Linked DNA regions of Lepisosteus oculatus. The protein of the gene in region 2 interacts with the protein of the main gene of each other region in a pairwise test. Links are inferred from orthologs where the notes say so. Each region holds a gene or a part of one and is shown on either strand. Other genes may lie near its edges.

Region 1 (7,306 bases), on a different chromosome or scaffold from region 2:
GTGCGGATGCCACCTGGTGAACAGTGGGCCTGTCTGTGCCAGGGGGCGAGCTGCTGAGTCTGTCCAGGGCAGAGTCTCCCTCCGACGACGGATCCCGGACATCTTCCCTTGTCATCTTCCTCACAGCACCTGAGAGGGACACGGGGACACTGAACCTCACTTGAGGACACTGTACCCACTGGGGGGGGACACTGGGACACGTTGGGGTATACACTATCCCACTGGGGACTCACTGAACCACACTGGGGGACACACAGACGCACTGGGACGCTCAGACAGGTTATATACCGTTACAGCTTTGGGTGACTTGAGAAGTCTCTCTCAGATTTTAGATAAGGTTTTAGACATTGGGAAGAGTAAACACATCTAACTCCAAAGGAGAGAGGATGTTTGCCGACGACTGGGGGTCCCTTGAGCAGAAACAATAGTAAAGGTGATCTTGGTATTCCTAGGCAAGTTGTGGATTAATGATCGCAAAGGAGCAGGGCAGAAAGACACAGTATCTGTTCACCTTAAGAGCACAGGAGGAGAGAGAAGAACAGGGGGAAGAGGAGAAACAAGGGGAGCAGAGAGAAGAGAGAGGAGCTGGAACTTGAGGCTTGCGCCAGGCGAGAGCCCCTACTTCATGATCATCCAAATCAAACCTGACTGGAGCGAAGTATTTGAACCCTGTTAGAACGTGCTATTCTGTATTTTTTAGGGAACTTGGGTTTCCTGGGTAAAAGATACCTCAGTTAGAAACATCTTTCCTGATAAGGGGGCATTTTATGGATATGGATATAGGCTCCTATTTATTTTGGGGCATCCACAGAGAGAGATAGGTTTAACCGCAGGTTGCTCTGTATTTAGTTAGAAGGCAGCTCATCTCTTGTGTGGCCTCGACAGGTGCTTAGTGCTTAGTAGCGGTCTGGGGTTTTCTGGGTGACCAGAATGTTTGGCCTCTGAAACGCCTTGTCTGTAAAGAATGTGTTTAAAGCAACATGTTCTGTTGTGTGTTGTGTCATTGTTTGAAAATATCTGTCCAGCCCCACCCGTAACAATAGAATGTAACTTGGCGTGTTGTATGTTTTGTGTCTCGTGTAGGTTATTGCAATAAATATTTGTTTAAACCAAGTGTCTCTGGATTATTACTCCTCGACAAAGCTGTGTCAGAGATGGAAGAATTCACGTGCCTCTGGTTGTACCGGCCGCTCGCATACAGAAATCACTTACAAGTCGGGGATTATAAATAATTATTTCACCGCTCGGTCAATTCCTGATTTTCACCAGTTTTGTAACAATATAAACATCGTAACGCGAGCGATGGTTTAAATCTTGGGGTGCAACGGGGCTCCTGACATCCATACTCCACACGCCAACAGCAGGGGGCGCACCTCCCATCTCAAAGCGAACACCAGCGTGGCTCGCAGTCACTGGACAACATCACCCCTAACTCAACACGGGACCCCTGACACAACACCCAGCCTTGAGCCCTGCGCTTCCCACAACTCCGAGGCAGTGCCAGCAGGCCAGGCCAGGCCAGGGCAGGGCAGCTCCCCTCTTGACATGAGAGCGACGTGATCATGACAGGGCTCCCGGGCAGCAGCAGCAGCAGTCCCGGCCCCCTCACTCAGGAGGGATGCGCCCTGTTCCTGCAGCACACGAAGCAGGACAAACTGGAGTCCTCGCAGAGCGACCGGCGGGACGCTCGGGGCCCCACGCCAGGAGGGGACGACCGGGGGGAACACAGTCCAGGTCATGCCAGTACAGCTCTCTGAGCCCGAGAGAAGGAATGAGAGAGCGAGGGAGAGGAAGTTTAACACAGGGCTCCGCTTCTCTATCGTTCCGGTTATGTCAATATTAGCTGACGGATCAGCAGACAGAGCTGTCTTGATCCCAGAGTCCCGCCGCTCCTCCTGTTCTTCCACAGTCTGCGAACAGCTGCGCGGTCACCTGGCCTGCGAGAGGGGAGGGTGCAGGAGAAGGACGAGAGAGAGGAGGAGGAGGGGGGGGGAGGACAGCCCCCATCGTAAAGCACTTCACTGTCAGAGACCAGCACAAAGATACACAAATCCTGCAGCACACACACTCCACAGACGCAGATATATTTTATTTTACTTCTATTTTTTGTCTTGTTCCATGTTAATTTTATTTTATTTGCTTTGGCAACACTGATTGTACCCATTGGTCATGCTAATAAAGCACCTTGAATTGAATTGAATATATTACAGTCACCGGCCCGCGACCGGCAGGGCAGGACGCTCAGGGCTTAAGACGGGCAGAGCGCCCCCAGAGTCGGGCCCCCCTCAGCGCAATAACCGCACAGTGCTTATTTACCTGGCGGGGCAAGGCCAGCCACCAGGCGAAACGGGGTTTTGTGAGCAGACCAATCTGGGCACCTCCCAGCACCCCGGATCCCCCAGAGCACTGTGGGGAACTTCGGGAGCCTCAGGAGGCCTTGGTCTCCGTCTGACACGAGCAGGGCTCGACACACACCTCTGCCAGGCTGCCCCGGGAGCAACACCACAGCGAGGCGCCGACAGCTATCCCACAATGACACGGGTAAAGCACCGCCCAGAGAAGAGAGCGTCCCGGCAGCAGAGAGCAGACAACAGCACCGGGCAGGACGAGCGGGTCAGAGAGAGGACAGGGGGAGGAGGCAGGGTGAGGGGCAACAGACACAGGCAGAGACAAGCGGGAGTCTCACTCACGGTCACCGTCGCCCGGGGAGAGTTCAGGAGTGGCCGCTGGGTCCCCCATGCCAAGTGACCAGAACAGGGAGAGGCGGAAAACGGGACAGCACCTCCTCTCTCTCCTGCTCCACTGTGATCCCCAGCCAGCGGGCTGGCTATTTACAGCTCAGGCAGCCTGCGCCGGCCGTCCCACTCCCTCGTCACATTCTCCTGTCAATCTACACGTCTGTGCACCACAGCACACGCACAGGCCTGGCCACAGACGCAGAGCACTGGCACTGAGCCCCTGAGGCGGGGGGCACGCTCGCTGCTCGTACAGGGGGGGCAGTGTCCGGACTGTAGTGTGCAAGACACTAGCTCCTGCCATCTCTAGCAAAAGGTCAGGCATGTGAGCCGAGCTAAAAATACACTCATTTTACAGTGCCCAGGACACAGGCACCACTCTCCACACACACTGGAGATCAATAGACAGGCGGCACAGTGCCCAGGACACAGGCACCACTCTCTACACACACTGGAGATCAATATACAGGCGGCACAGTGCCCAGGACACAGGCACCACTCTCTACACACACTGGAGATCAATATACAGGCGGCACAGTGCCCCGGACACAGGCACCACTCCTTACACACACAGGAGATCGATATACAGGAGGCACAGTGCCCAGGACACAGGCACCACTCCTTACACACACAGGAGATCGATATACAGGAGGCACAGTGCCCAGGACACAGGCACCACTCTCTACACACACAGGAGATCAATATACAGGCAGCACAGTGCCCAGGACACAGGCACCACTCCTTACACACACAGGAGATCGATATACAGGAGGCACAGTGCCCAGGACACAGGCACCACTCTCTACACACACACAGGAGATCAATATACAGGCGGCACAGTGCCCAGGACACAGGCACCACTCTCTACACACACTGGAGATCAATATACAGGCGGCACAGTGCCCAGGACACAGGCACCACTCCTTACACACACAGGAGATCAATAGACAGGCGGCACAGTGCCCAGGACACAGGCACCACTCTCTACACACACAGGAGATCAATAGACAGGCGGCACAGTGCCCAGGACACAGGCACCACTCTCTACACACACAGGAGATCAATAGACAGGCGGCACAGTGCCCAGGACACAGGCACCACTCTCTACACACACTGGAGATCAATAGACAGGCGGCACAGTGCCCAGGACACAGGCACCACTCTCTACACACACTGGAGATCAATATACAGGCGGCACAGTGCCCAGGACACAGGCACCACTCCTTACACACACAGGAGATCAATATACAGGCGGCACAGTGCCCAGGACACAGGCACCACTCCTTACACACACAGGAGATCAATATACAGGCGGCACAGTGCCCAGGACACAGGCACCACTCTCTACACACACTGGAGATCAATATACAGGAAGCACAGTGCCCAGGACACAGGCACCACTCCTTACACACACAGGAGATCAATATACAGGCGGCACAGTCCCCAGGACACAGGCACCACTCCTTACACACACAGGAGATCAATATACAGGCGGCACAGTCCCCAGGACACAGGCACCACTCCTTACACACACAGGAGATCAATATACAGGCAGCACAGTCCCCAGGACACAGGCACCACTCTCTACACACACTGGAGATCAATATACAGGCGGCACAGTGCCCAGGACACAGGCACCACTCTCTACACACACAGGAGATCAATAGACAGGCGGCACAGTGCCCAGGACACAGGCACCACTCTCTACACACACTGGAGATCAATAGACAGGCGGCACAGTGCCCAGGACACAGGCACCACTCTCTACACACACTGGAGATCAATATACAGGCGGCACAGTGCCCAGGACACAGGCACCACTCCTTACACACACAGGAGATCAATATACAGGCGGCACAGTGCCCAGGACACAGGCACCACTCCTTACACACACAGGAGATCAATATACAGGCGGCACAGTGCCCAGGACACAGGCACCACTCTCTACACACACTGGAGATCAATATACAGGAAGCACAGTGCCCAGGACACAGGCACCACTCCTTACACACACAGGAGATCAATATACAGGCGGCACAGTCCCCAGGACACAGGCACCACTCCTTACACACACAGGAGATCAATATACAGGCGGCACAGTCCCCAGGACACAGGCACCACTCCTTACACACACAGGAGATCAATATACAGGCAGCACAGTCCCCAGGACACAGGCACCACTCTCTACACACACTGGAGATCAATATACAGGCGGCACAGTGCCCAGGACACAGGCACCACTCTCTACACACACAGGAGATCAATATACAGGAGGCACAGTGCCCAGGACACAGGCACCACTCTCTACACACACAGGAGATCAATATACAGGAGGCACAGTGCCCAGGACACAGGCACCACTCTCTACACACACAGGAGATCAATATACAGGAGGCACAGTGCCCAGGACACAGGCTATAAGCAGGAACATCTCACCTGTGCTGTGACTGGTAGCTCAGGGCCGTACAGGACCTCTCCTTACAGGCCACAGTTTTCCATCATCTAAGCTCTTAACCACATAACATCATCGTTCTCCTTTACTACAGCACACGATCTTCAGAAAGCAAACAGGAAAATCCAAACCCACAATACACAACAACAAACAGATTCAAAACCAGTCAGACAGGATCGCTGTCACCAGCACAATGAACAATTACAATGAAAGCCCAGCCCTGGGGGCACTTCTGGAGGAACCCCAACACCTCCATACCCAGCCCGGACCGGACCGGACCCTCAACCCCTCCCCCTGCCTGACCCGAGACTGACAGAGACGAGCACATCCGCTCAAGTCCTCCTGTCCGCGACACAGGCCCCGTGCCAAACACATGGAGTAATTCAGGCAGAGCGCCAGAGTGAGCGACGTGCCCGGCTCCTGGTGAGAACGCCCCAGCCACACGCCTGTGCTCCACACCGGGGACAGCTTACTTTTCTTGTGAAGGTGCCTCAGCATCGCGTGACCCTGCGGCAGGAGAGCCCTTCACAGCCGCCTGATCTCCTCCACAGCCACACGCCAAGGATAAAACAGGACGCCCATCAGGACAGTCAGGTTTACTTTGTAACCAAATCGAGTGCTGTCTGCAACACTGGAACAGTCCAGCTGCGCAGAGCCTCGTGCAGGAGAATAGCAGCTCAGAGACACCCTGTCAGAGCAGTCCAGCTGCGCAGAGCCTCGTGCAGGAGAATAGCAGCTCAGAGACACTGTCAGAGCAGTCCAGCTGCGCAGAGCCTCGTGCAGGAGAACAGCAGCTCAGAGACACCCTGTCAGAGCAGTCCAGCTGCGCAGAGCCTCGTGCAGGAGAACGGCAGCTCAGAGAGAGACTGTCAGAGCAGGCCAGCTGCGCAGAGCCTCGTGCAGGAGAACAGCAGCTCAGAGACACACTGCCAGAGCAGTCCAGCTGCGCAGAGCCTCGTGCAGGAGAACAGCAGCTCAGAGACACACTGCCAGAGCAGTCCAGCTGCGCAGAGCCTCGTGCAGGAGAACAGCAGCTCAGAGAGACTGTCAGAGCAGTCCAGCTGCGCAGAGCCTCGTGCAGGAGAACAGCAGCTCAGCGACACACTGTCAGTGCAGTCCAGCTGCGCAGAACCTCGTGCAGGAGACCAGCAGCTCAGAGACACTGCCAGAGCAGTCGAGCTGCGCAGAGCCTCGTGCAGGAGAACAGCAGCTCAGAGACACACTGCCAGAGCAGTCCAGCTGCGCAGAGCCTCGTGCAGGAAAACAGCAGCTCAGAGAGACACTGCCAGAGCAGTCCAGCTGCGCAGAGCCTCGTGCAGGAGAACAGCAGCTCAGAGACACACTGTAAGAGCAGTCCAGCTGCGCAGAGCCTCGTGCAGGAGAACAGCAGCTCAGAGAGACTGTCAGAGCAGTCCAGCTGCGCAGAGCCTCGTGCAGGAAAACAGCAGCTCAGCGACACACTGTCAGTGCAGTCCAGCTGCGCAGAACCTCGTGCAGGAGACCAGCAGCTCAGAGACACTGCCAGAGCAGTCGAGCTGCGCAGAGCCTCGTGCAGGAGAACAGCAGCTCAGAGACACTGCCAGAGCAGTCGAGCTGCGCAGAGCCTCGTGCAGGAGAACAGCAGCTCAGAGACACTGCCTGCTCCCGAGAGAGAGACAGAGGGACACACATGCAAACAAGCAGCAACTCTGGGGACACAAAAATCCACACACACTTGGACACACCCAGGGACACAAATGCACTAGTACACACCCAGAACACACACGAATGTGACCGTCGGCACACATGGGCAGCCAAATAAAGAAACCCACACACACAGATCGACAAATAAACACAAGGACACAGACTCACAGACACAGAGCGACACACTAACTCAGGCATACACGCAGACACACAGGGAGAGTATCTCACAACAGCTGTGCCCTGCGAGAGATCGGGCCGGTCCAGTCACAAACCAATCACCCCCTCTGCACAAGACTGGCATTAAGATTATTTTCAATTATGCATTTTTATGATGCATTTCAACCTTTGTTAAATATATTTTGTTCTTCTTACGTGTACATGTATTTCCCGACAATTTCTCCTTAAAACTCATCAATTTAGTTAAACTATTTTTCTC
Region 2 (6,901 bases):
TTATTGATAGATTTACTCCTGTCATTACTAAAATTTGGCTCCATCATTTTAAACTAAAACCATGATGCGTTGAGCAATATGAATTCTGTAATTCTCATTACGCTCCTTAAAATGTTACTGTGACTGCTGCAAGATGATTAATATTCGGCTTTAGAGTGAGTGGGTGGTTTTATATGGCACTGTGTCTCCTAGACTGGATAAGATCAGAGTGTGGCCTTTGCTAGGTAATGCTGTACCTAATTTATTTAATATTCTTTTGTCATGAGTAGCTTTGAGTGCTTCAACTATTACTACTAGATTTATGTACTGGTAACACATTCACAGCCATATACACAGTGGATTAATTAGACTATGAGTACGAAGCTTATTCTATCTGTTTACTCAATGCACAGTAAATGAAATGCACATACAATAAAACTAAAAGGCAAATGAATAAGTAGATTCAACAAATTTTTACTCTAAAAAATAATGTTGACACCATTTTGCCATCTATTATGCCTACAAATTATTCATTCTAATACACCTTCTGGCAAAAGTATTAGAATCTTCCACCACGATACAATATATTGTACTGCAAGAGCAATAGCATCAGAACGAGACATATATCCCTCTTGGTTTACAGATATTGGCAGTCCAATCCCATGCCACTTGTCCAGCATCACAACCTCAGCTGATGGTGATCATTCTGTGTGGGACTGAAATTTATTTTCTCCCTCATCTAATGACATAAAATAACTTAAAAACATAACTTAAAAACAAACATTAGATTGTCATGTGTGCTTGAGAGGAGGTGGCCATTCGTCCCATCTAACTCATTTGGCACTTCGGATCTCTTCCAGTTATTTCTTAAAACAAGCCAGGAATACTGGCTTTGACAGCATGGCTGGGTAGATTTTTCCACACTCCTAAAACCCTTTGGGTATAAAAGTTCTGTTTGCAGTTTTATGTATACTTCCATGTGATTTCCAGTTGTGTTGTCACTTCAGTTACAAGTAGATTAAGAGCCAGGGATTGTTCTTATCGGGGAAGGTGAGGGCATTTTGTCTTGTGCTCCTAAAACCTTCAGCTGAAATAGTGTACTCATGAGGGTTCCTAACACTGTGGCCAGAGTGAAGCATGTCACTTAAGGTTCTCCTTCATATCCAAATGGAGTAGCAAAAGAAATGAGTTTCACTCTCTCAGCTTGGCTCTCCACTATAGCTGCTGAGGGATGGGTGAACCTAATCTTGGGAGGCCAGTAAGTTTTAAAGTCTGCATTTCAGATCATAACCTACTGTATATCAGCTCATTGTTGGCTTAATGGGAACAGTTTCTGTCAGCTCTTCATGTGTTGGTGTTGTGAAGAGACCTATAAAGCTTGCAGACACACTGGCCCTCAAGCACCAGGCATGCCCAAGCCTGGTCATCTAACACACAGCGTGGATTCTAAAAAGGAACAAACAGCTGTGTGAAGCTGGACTGGTTTCTCAAAGGTAAGGAATATAGGGCAATATTAACATGAATATAAAAGAAACTGAAGCACATACAATAAAGTAAATGACAGCAAATGTGACAGCAGGATATCAAGATGGTCTCACAGAGCCAGTGTGGCTGACCACAGATGAACTGACACCTGAAACTCACATTTTTTTTTATTATTGGTTAAAGACAAACTTCCATCTTTATATTTCTAACACTGGCATCCATATGATGTGTATTTGCATGGTATACTGCTGTTGAATGTAAAATTAACAAATAGCAAAGTTAAAGTTATTACTTAGCTAAGAAAGAAGCAACTGCTTTTGGAGAATTCAACACAAAGTGTGTCAGGGAAAAAGATCATGAATCTGCACCAAAGTAAATAAAAATGGGGCGACTTTAATGGCCTGTTCTAAAATTACACTAGAAATACCATAACACTAAACACTTCATAGTTTCTACCATGTCTTATATTACAATACCATTTGCTTGAATGTCCTCTATTTCCATTTGCTTTCATACTGTATATCAAATTTTAGAATGATCCTAACAATAGTATCTAACAAATAGATCGCAAAAGTCAGAATCGACATAAATCTGGACTGGAGAAGAAAGTAAAGCATCCAAACAAACTGCACACAGCCATTGTAGAATAGGTGACATTTACTGAAACTTTATATCTCCAGTCTACTGAATTGTTACCGACAATGTGCCTAAATAAATGAGCCTTATCACAATTCTTAGTGAAATATATATGGTTGCATAAATTGGCACAAGAGAAGCCCCACTGTAATTAGGAGGATGGAAGAATTGACTCCATATATTCGCTTCATCAACCCCTATTACAGTACCTTTGCACAACTGGGAGGAAAGCCTCAAACATAAACAATGAAATACCGGTACTCGACAATTCAAATTAAATTAGGTAGCTGCCTACCCTAAGAGCATGTGGAACTCACTATTTAATAATAAATACTGTTCCCACTTTTAAATGGCCTGTGTAGTACTATTTCACTTTAAAACCAGCATCAGAAATGACTACCAAAGATGCACTTGTCGTTACCCAAAGGCTGATCTCAGCCTACTGCACAGGCCAAGCCTAGCCACATGAACGCTTAAACCAAACACACGTCTGTGTCATGACGATCGAATACTGTATTCTTTCTTAGTGCATGAAACGAAAAACAAAGCACCAGTGCCCGGAATTAGGAAAAACAAAACAAAAGATTACCGTTACTCGCTAATACATGACAACACAAATGAATCGGGTGGGAAAAAAATCCTCTATCCTATTATGACACGACGCCGGCTGTAAATACCTCTCCATTTCCACTGTACAGAGCATCACATCCCTGTTTTAATTCTGAACTGATGTAACGCTGATTCAAACCGTCAGATGCGGGTGTAAACAAATAACTAGAAAACGATACAATTCTTACCGTTTTATTAACCTCCAGAATGAATTAAGGCCTAGAATCCTTAAAGCTCTACCCATGGCTTTGATTTTTCTCCTTTCCCCCTGCACATCATCAGCAGCAGCTGTACCACAGCGCGATGAGGACGATGATGCTGTAAAAAAAACTCCGCCCTCCTCCTGTCTGTCAGAATGAGCTCATTGAATTTGCCAAGAAAACTGCAGTCTCCTTTTTTATCCCTCTTCTTGTTTTTTTTTTATCCGTTTTACTTTCTCCACTCTTTTCACTTTCCCCTCTCGTGGAGTCCACACCACTGTCACAGACCGCACAACGGGAAACGAGCAGACGCTCACAGAAGGTACGATCGGAAATAATATTAAGCCGCACGACTTTGTAGCTCATAGTACTGTACAATACACAGTATGTAGAGGAGAATCCCTTTTACAGCTCCTGGTTAAACGTTTCAGTCACAGCACTGTCGACACTTAAGTATTTATTTCGCCGTTTTCTTTTAAATAAATGAACATATTAAGAGATTTTTTCAAACTAGCCTTATTAACATTTAAGCATTGTGAAGCAAAAAGGTAAAGCACAGTGAGGTGGACACAGAGCGCCAACGGGGGTGGTGAAGGTGGAGCAGCGCCTGGGAGTGGGAGTACCGCACATACAGTAAAACACAAGCCAGGGCACCAGTAACTGAGGAACCGGCTCCTTCTCTCCTGCGGCGCACTGTTCCTTTCTAACATCTCAACAACGAAGGTTTCCATAGTAATCCGAGTGGTTTATCGGTCTCTCTTTAGGCTGTTTTGATTTTAAGATCACCAGTATTTATCTGGTGACAGTGCCAGGTTTTGTACAAGCAAAAATCAAATCGTAAATATTGTAGCTGTTAAAATATTGTAGCGGTCAGCCAGTCAGACAGGGAGAGTCTGAGGTGGTGTCACGCCCTCTGCGGCCAGAGGGCGCTCTTACTCTATCCAATTCTAATATAATACAAAAGTTCTTAAAAAGGGTGTTTGTCCTTTATCAATCACAGCAAGTGGATGCTGGGGCTGGATTCGCACAGTGAAAGAGGCCCTCCAAACTCTACCACTTGCAGTTGTCCTTGTCCTGCTCTGAAACTGCGGTTGTCCAGTCCTCTGCAGGAGCTCAAGGAGCAGGGATTTCCTCCTAAGTCCCTGTACAGGGCCCACAGTCCCTTCCAGCGCTCTTTTTAAGGATATGCTTACTTTAAAGTTTTATGAAATCGCTTGTGTTCTAATGTTATCCATCCATTTTCTAAACGCTTCTTCCAATTCAGATTTACAGGGGAGCTAGACCCTATCCTGGCAAGCAAGGGATGCAAGGCAAGATACACCCTGGATGGGGCGCCTGTCCATTGTGGGGCACACACAGACACAAACACAGATATAGACACACTCACACCTAGGGCCAATTTTTCCCAGAAACCAATTAACATAACTGTATGTTGTTGGGCTGTGGGAGGAAACCAGAGCACCCAGAGGTTACAGTGCTGTGAAAAAGTAAGTATGCCCCATGAAAATGTGTGATTTTCAAATATTTGCATGTATGGATATTTGATCTTCATTTCAACAATACTGATAGATAAAGGTGATCTAATATAACAAATAACAATGAATATGAATATTTTCAATCATTTATTCAACAGAAAAAAAGTCAGAAATGCAATTGTCTGCTGTGGGAAAAAATAAGTACACCCCCTAGCTTCAATAGCTGGTGTTGCCCCCTTTGGAAGAAATCACTTCTTGTAGGTATTTCTTGTAATTGTCTATCAGTCTCCTACATCGACTTGGAGACATTTTTGCCCACTCCTCCTTATAAACTCCTTTAACTGTGTGATGTTTGAGGACTTTCTTGCATGTACTGCCCGCTTCAAGTCCCTTCACAGCATTTCTATGGGGTTAAGATCTGGGCTTTGACCTGGCCATTCCATAACCCTCCCTTTCTTCTTTTTGAGCCATTCCTTTGTGGATTTGCTTGAGTGTTTTGGGTCATTGTCTTGTTGCAACGTCCACTTAAGGTTCAGCTTCAGCCTTTTGACAGTGTCACGCCCAGTACACCTAGAGGGCGCTCTTCTGCCTTGCTCCTCGCTCAGCATTGGGGTTCAGATGTCCTGAGACTCGCCTAGCACCAGGTCGCTCCAGTCCATGGCCTGAGGGCATTGGTTTCTATATGACTCCTGAACTGCTGAGCATATGGGTCTTTTTCTGCTCTCCTGCCTCTCCACGGTTCGTCCCTTCCGACATCCGTAACAGAGTGCTGAGCCTCCTACTTACCCCACAAGTGGCGCTTTTATTTCTCTTGCATATTTTTCCTCTCAGCTCTCCTATTCTAGTCACGGGATGCTTTTTCCGACTCCTGTGCCTGTGAGCGGGCTGTGGCCTGGCTTTCCTCGGGTTGTCATTCCGGCATCCGTGATGGAATGTTGAGCTGGCCCTCCTATCCTCATATGCCAGCAGCCATATCACCCTGCAACTCACAACTGGCAACCCACTGAAGCTAAGCAGGTGTGAGTACCTGGATGGGAGACCTCCTGGGAAAAACTAAGGTTGCTGCTGGAAGAGGCGTTAGTGGGACCAGCAGGGGGCGCTCACCCTGCGGCTCATGTGGGTCCTAATGCCCCAGTGTAGTGATGGGGACACTATACTGTAAACAGGCGCCGTCCTTCGGATGAGACGTAAAACCGAGGTCCTGACTCTCTGTGGTCATTAAAAATCCCAGGGTGTTTCTCGAAAAGAGTAGGGGTGTAACCCCGGCATCCTGGCCAGATTTCCCCATCGGCCTTTATCAATCATGGCCTCCTAACAATCCCCCTCTGTGAATTGGCTTCATTACTCTGCTCTCCTCCCCACTGATAGCTGATGTGTGGTGAGCGTTCTGGCGCACTATGGGTGCTGTCGCATCATCCAGGTGGATGCTGCACATTGATGGTGGTGGAGGGGAGTCCCCATTACCTGTAAAGCGCTTTGAGTGGAGTGTCCAGAAAAAGCGCTATATAAGTGTAAGCAATTATTATTATTATTGCTGGATATCACTCCAGTCATCAATGCCTGTGAGCGGGCCGTGTGCCTGGCTTTCCACGGGTTGTCCACAACGATATCAGCGATAGGGTGGTGAGCCTTTTTTCCTCTCCCATTCTAATTGCTGGATATCACCTTCCTGACATCCGTGCCTGTGAGCGGGCTGTGGCCTGGCTTTCCTTGAGTTGTCTTCTGCCGATATTGGCATTAGTCTGGTGAGCCTTTTTTGCCATTCCTCTATTCTTATTGCTGGATATCACTCTAGTCATCCGTGCCTGTTAGCGGGCCGTGTGCCTGGCTTTCTTCGGGTTGTCCACTCCGATATCATTGATAGAATGGGAATGTGCCTATTGCCCAGTCTGTGGTATTTTTCCCGGGTTTTTGTGTTTTTATTATTGTTTCTTGCTTGGTATTTTGATTTTTCACTTCCTGGTTTCCCCTTCTCTCTGGTCCCCCTGTCCTGTGTGTCTTGGAAGTTTTGGTTCCTATCTGTTTTTGTGGTTTGTTTCCCTGGTCTCCCAGGTTTATCTGTGTTGTGGTTTGTGCTTGTGTAATTGTCTTTTTTGTTTTAAGTCTCCGGAGCCCTACCTGAGCCCCCTTCCTCTACCCAATAAAGGTTTATACCATGGAGGAGGGGGCAGCTCTCAGCCGTGGACTCCTGGCTCATTTATTTGTATGGGCGTCAGGAGCCACCCATGAAGGTGGGGGTATGTCACGCCCTCTGCAGCCAGAGGGCGCTCCTATATCCTGTCCCTAGTTTTCTGTGCTTTGCTGTCCTTCTGGTGTCTCTCTCTCTGGGGGTCACTCATTCACCTTTGCTCAGCATTGACATTCGGATGTCCTGAGACCCGCCTAGCATTCAGGTCGCCCTACGTCCGCTGCCTGAGGGCATTGGTTTCTATACCACTCCTGAACTGCTGAGCCCGGGCTAATCCCCCGTTCCGCCGCTACGCATATGGGTCTTTTTCTGCTCTCCTGCCTCTCCAT

What was found.
Region 1: the proteins of jakmip2 (region 2) and CAP-Gly domain-containing linker protein 4 interact in binary tests that used the Homo sapiens proteins (3 or more experiments, as listed by UniProt). The two-hybrid records come from large-scale screens. The link is inferred for Lepisosteus oculatus from reciprocal best matches to the Homo sapiens genes JAKMIP2 and CLIP4.

Annotation. Positions count from the first base shown.
Region 1 is NC_090697.1:29,363,863-29,371,168, forward strand, and holds the start of CAP-Gly domain-containing linker protein 4, read right to left. Parts: upstream 3,014-7,306; 5' UTR 2,740-3,013; coding exon 2,691-2,739; intron 130-2,690; coding exon 1-129.
Region 2 is NC_090706.1:26,812,317-26,819,217, forward strand, and holds the start of jakmip2 (janus kinase and microtubule-interacting protein 2), read right to left. Parts: upstream 3,032-6,901; 5' UTR 2,898-3,031; intron 1-2,897.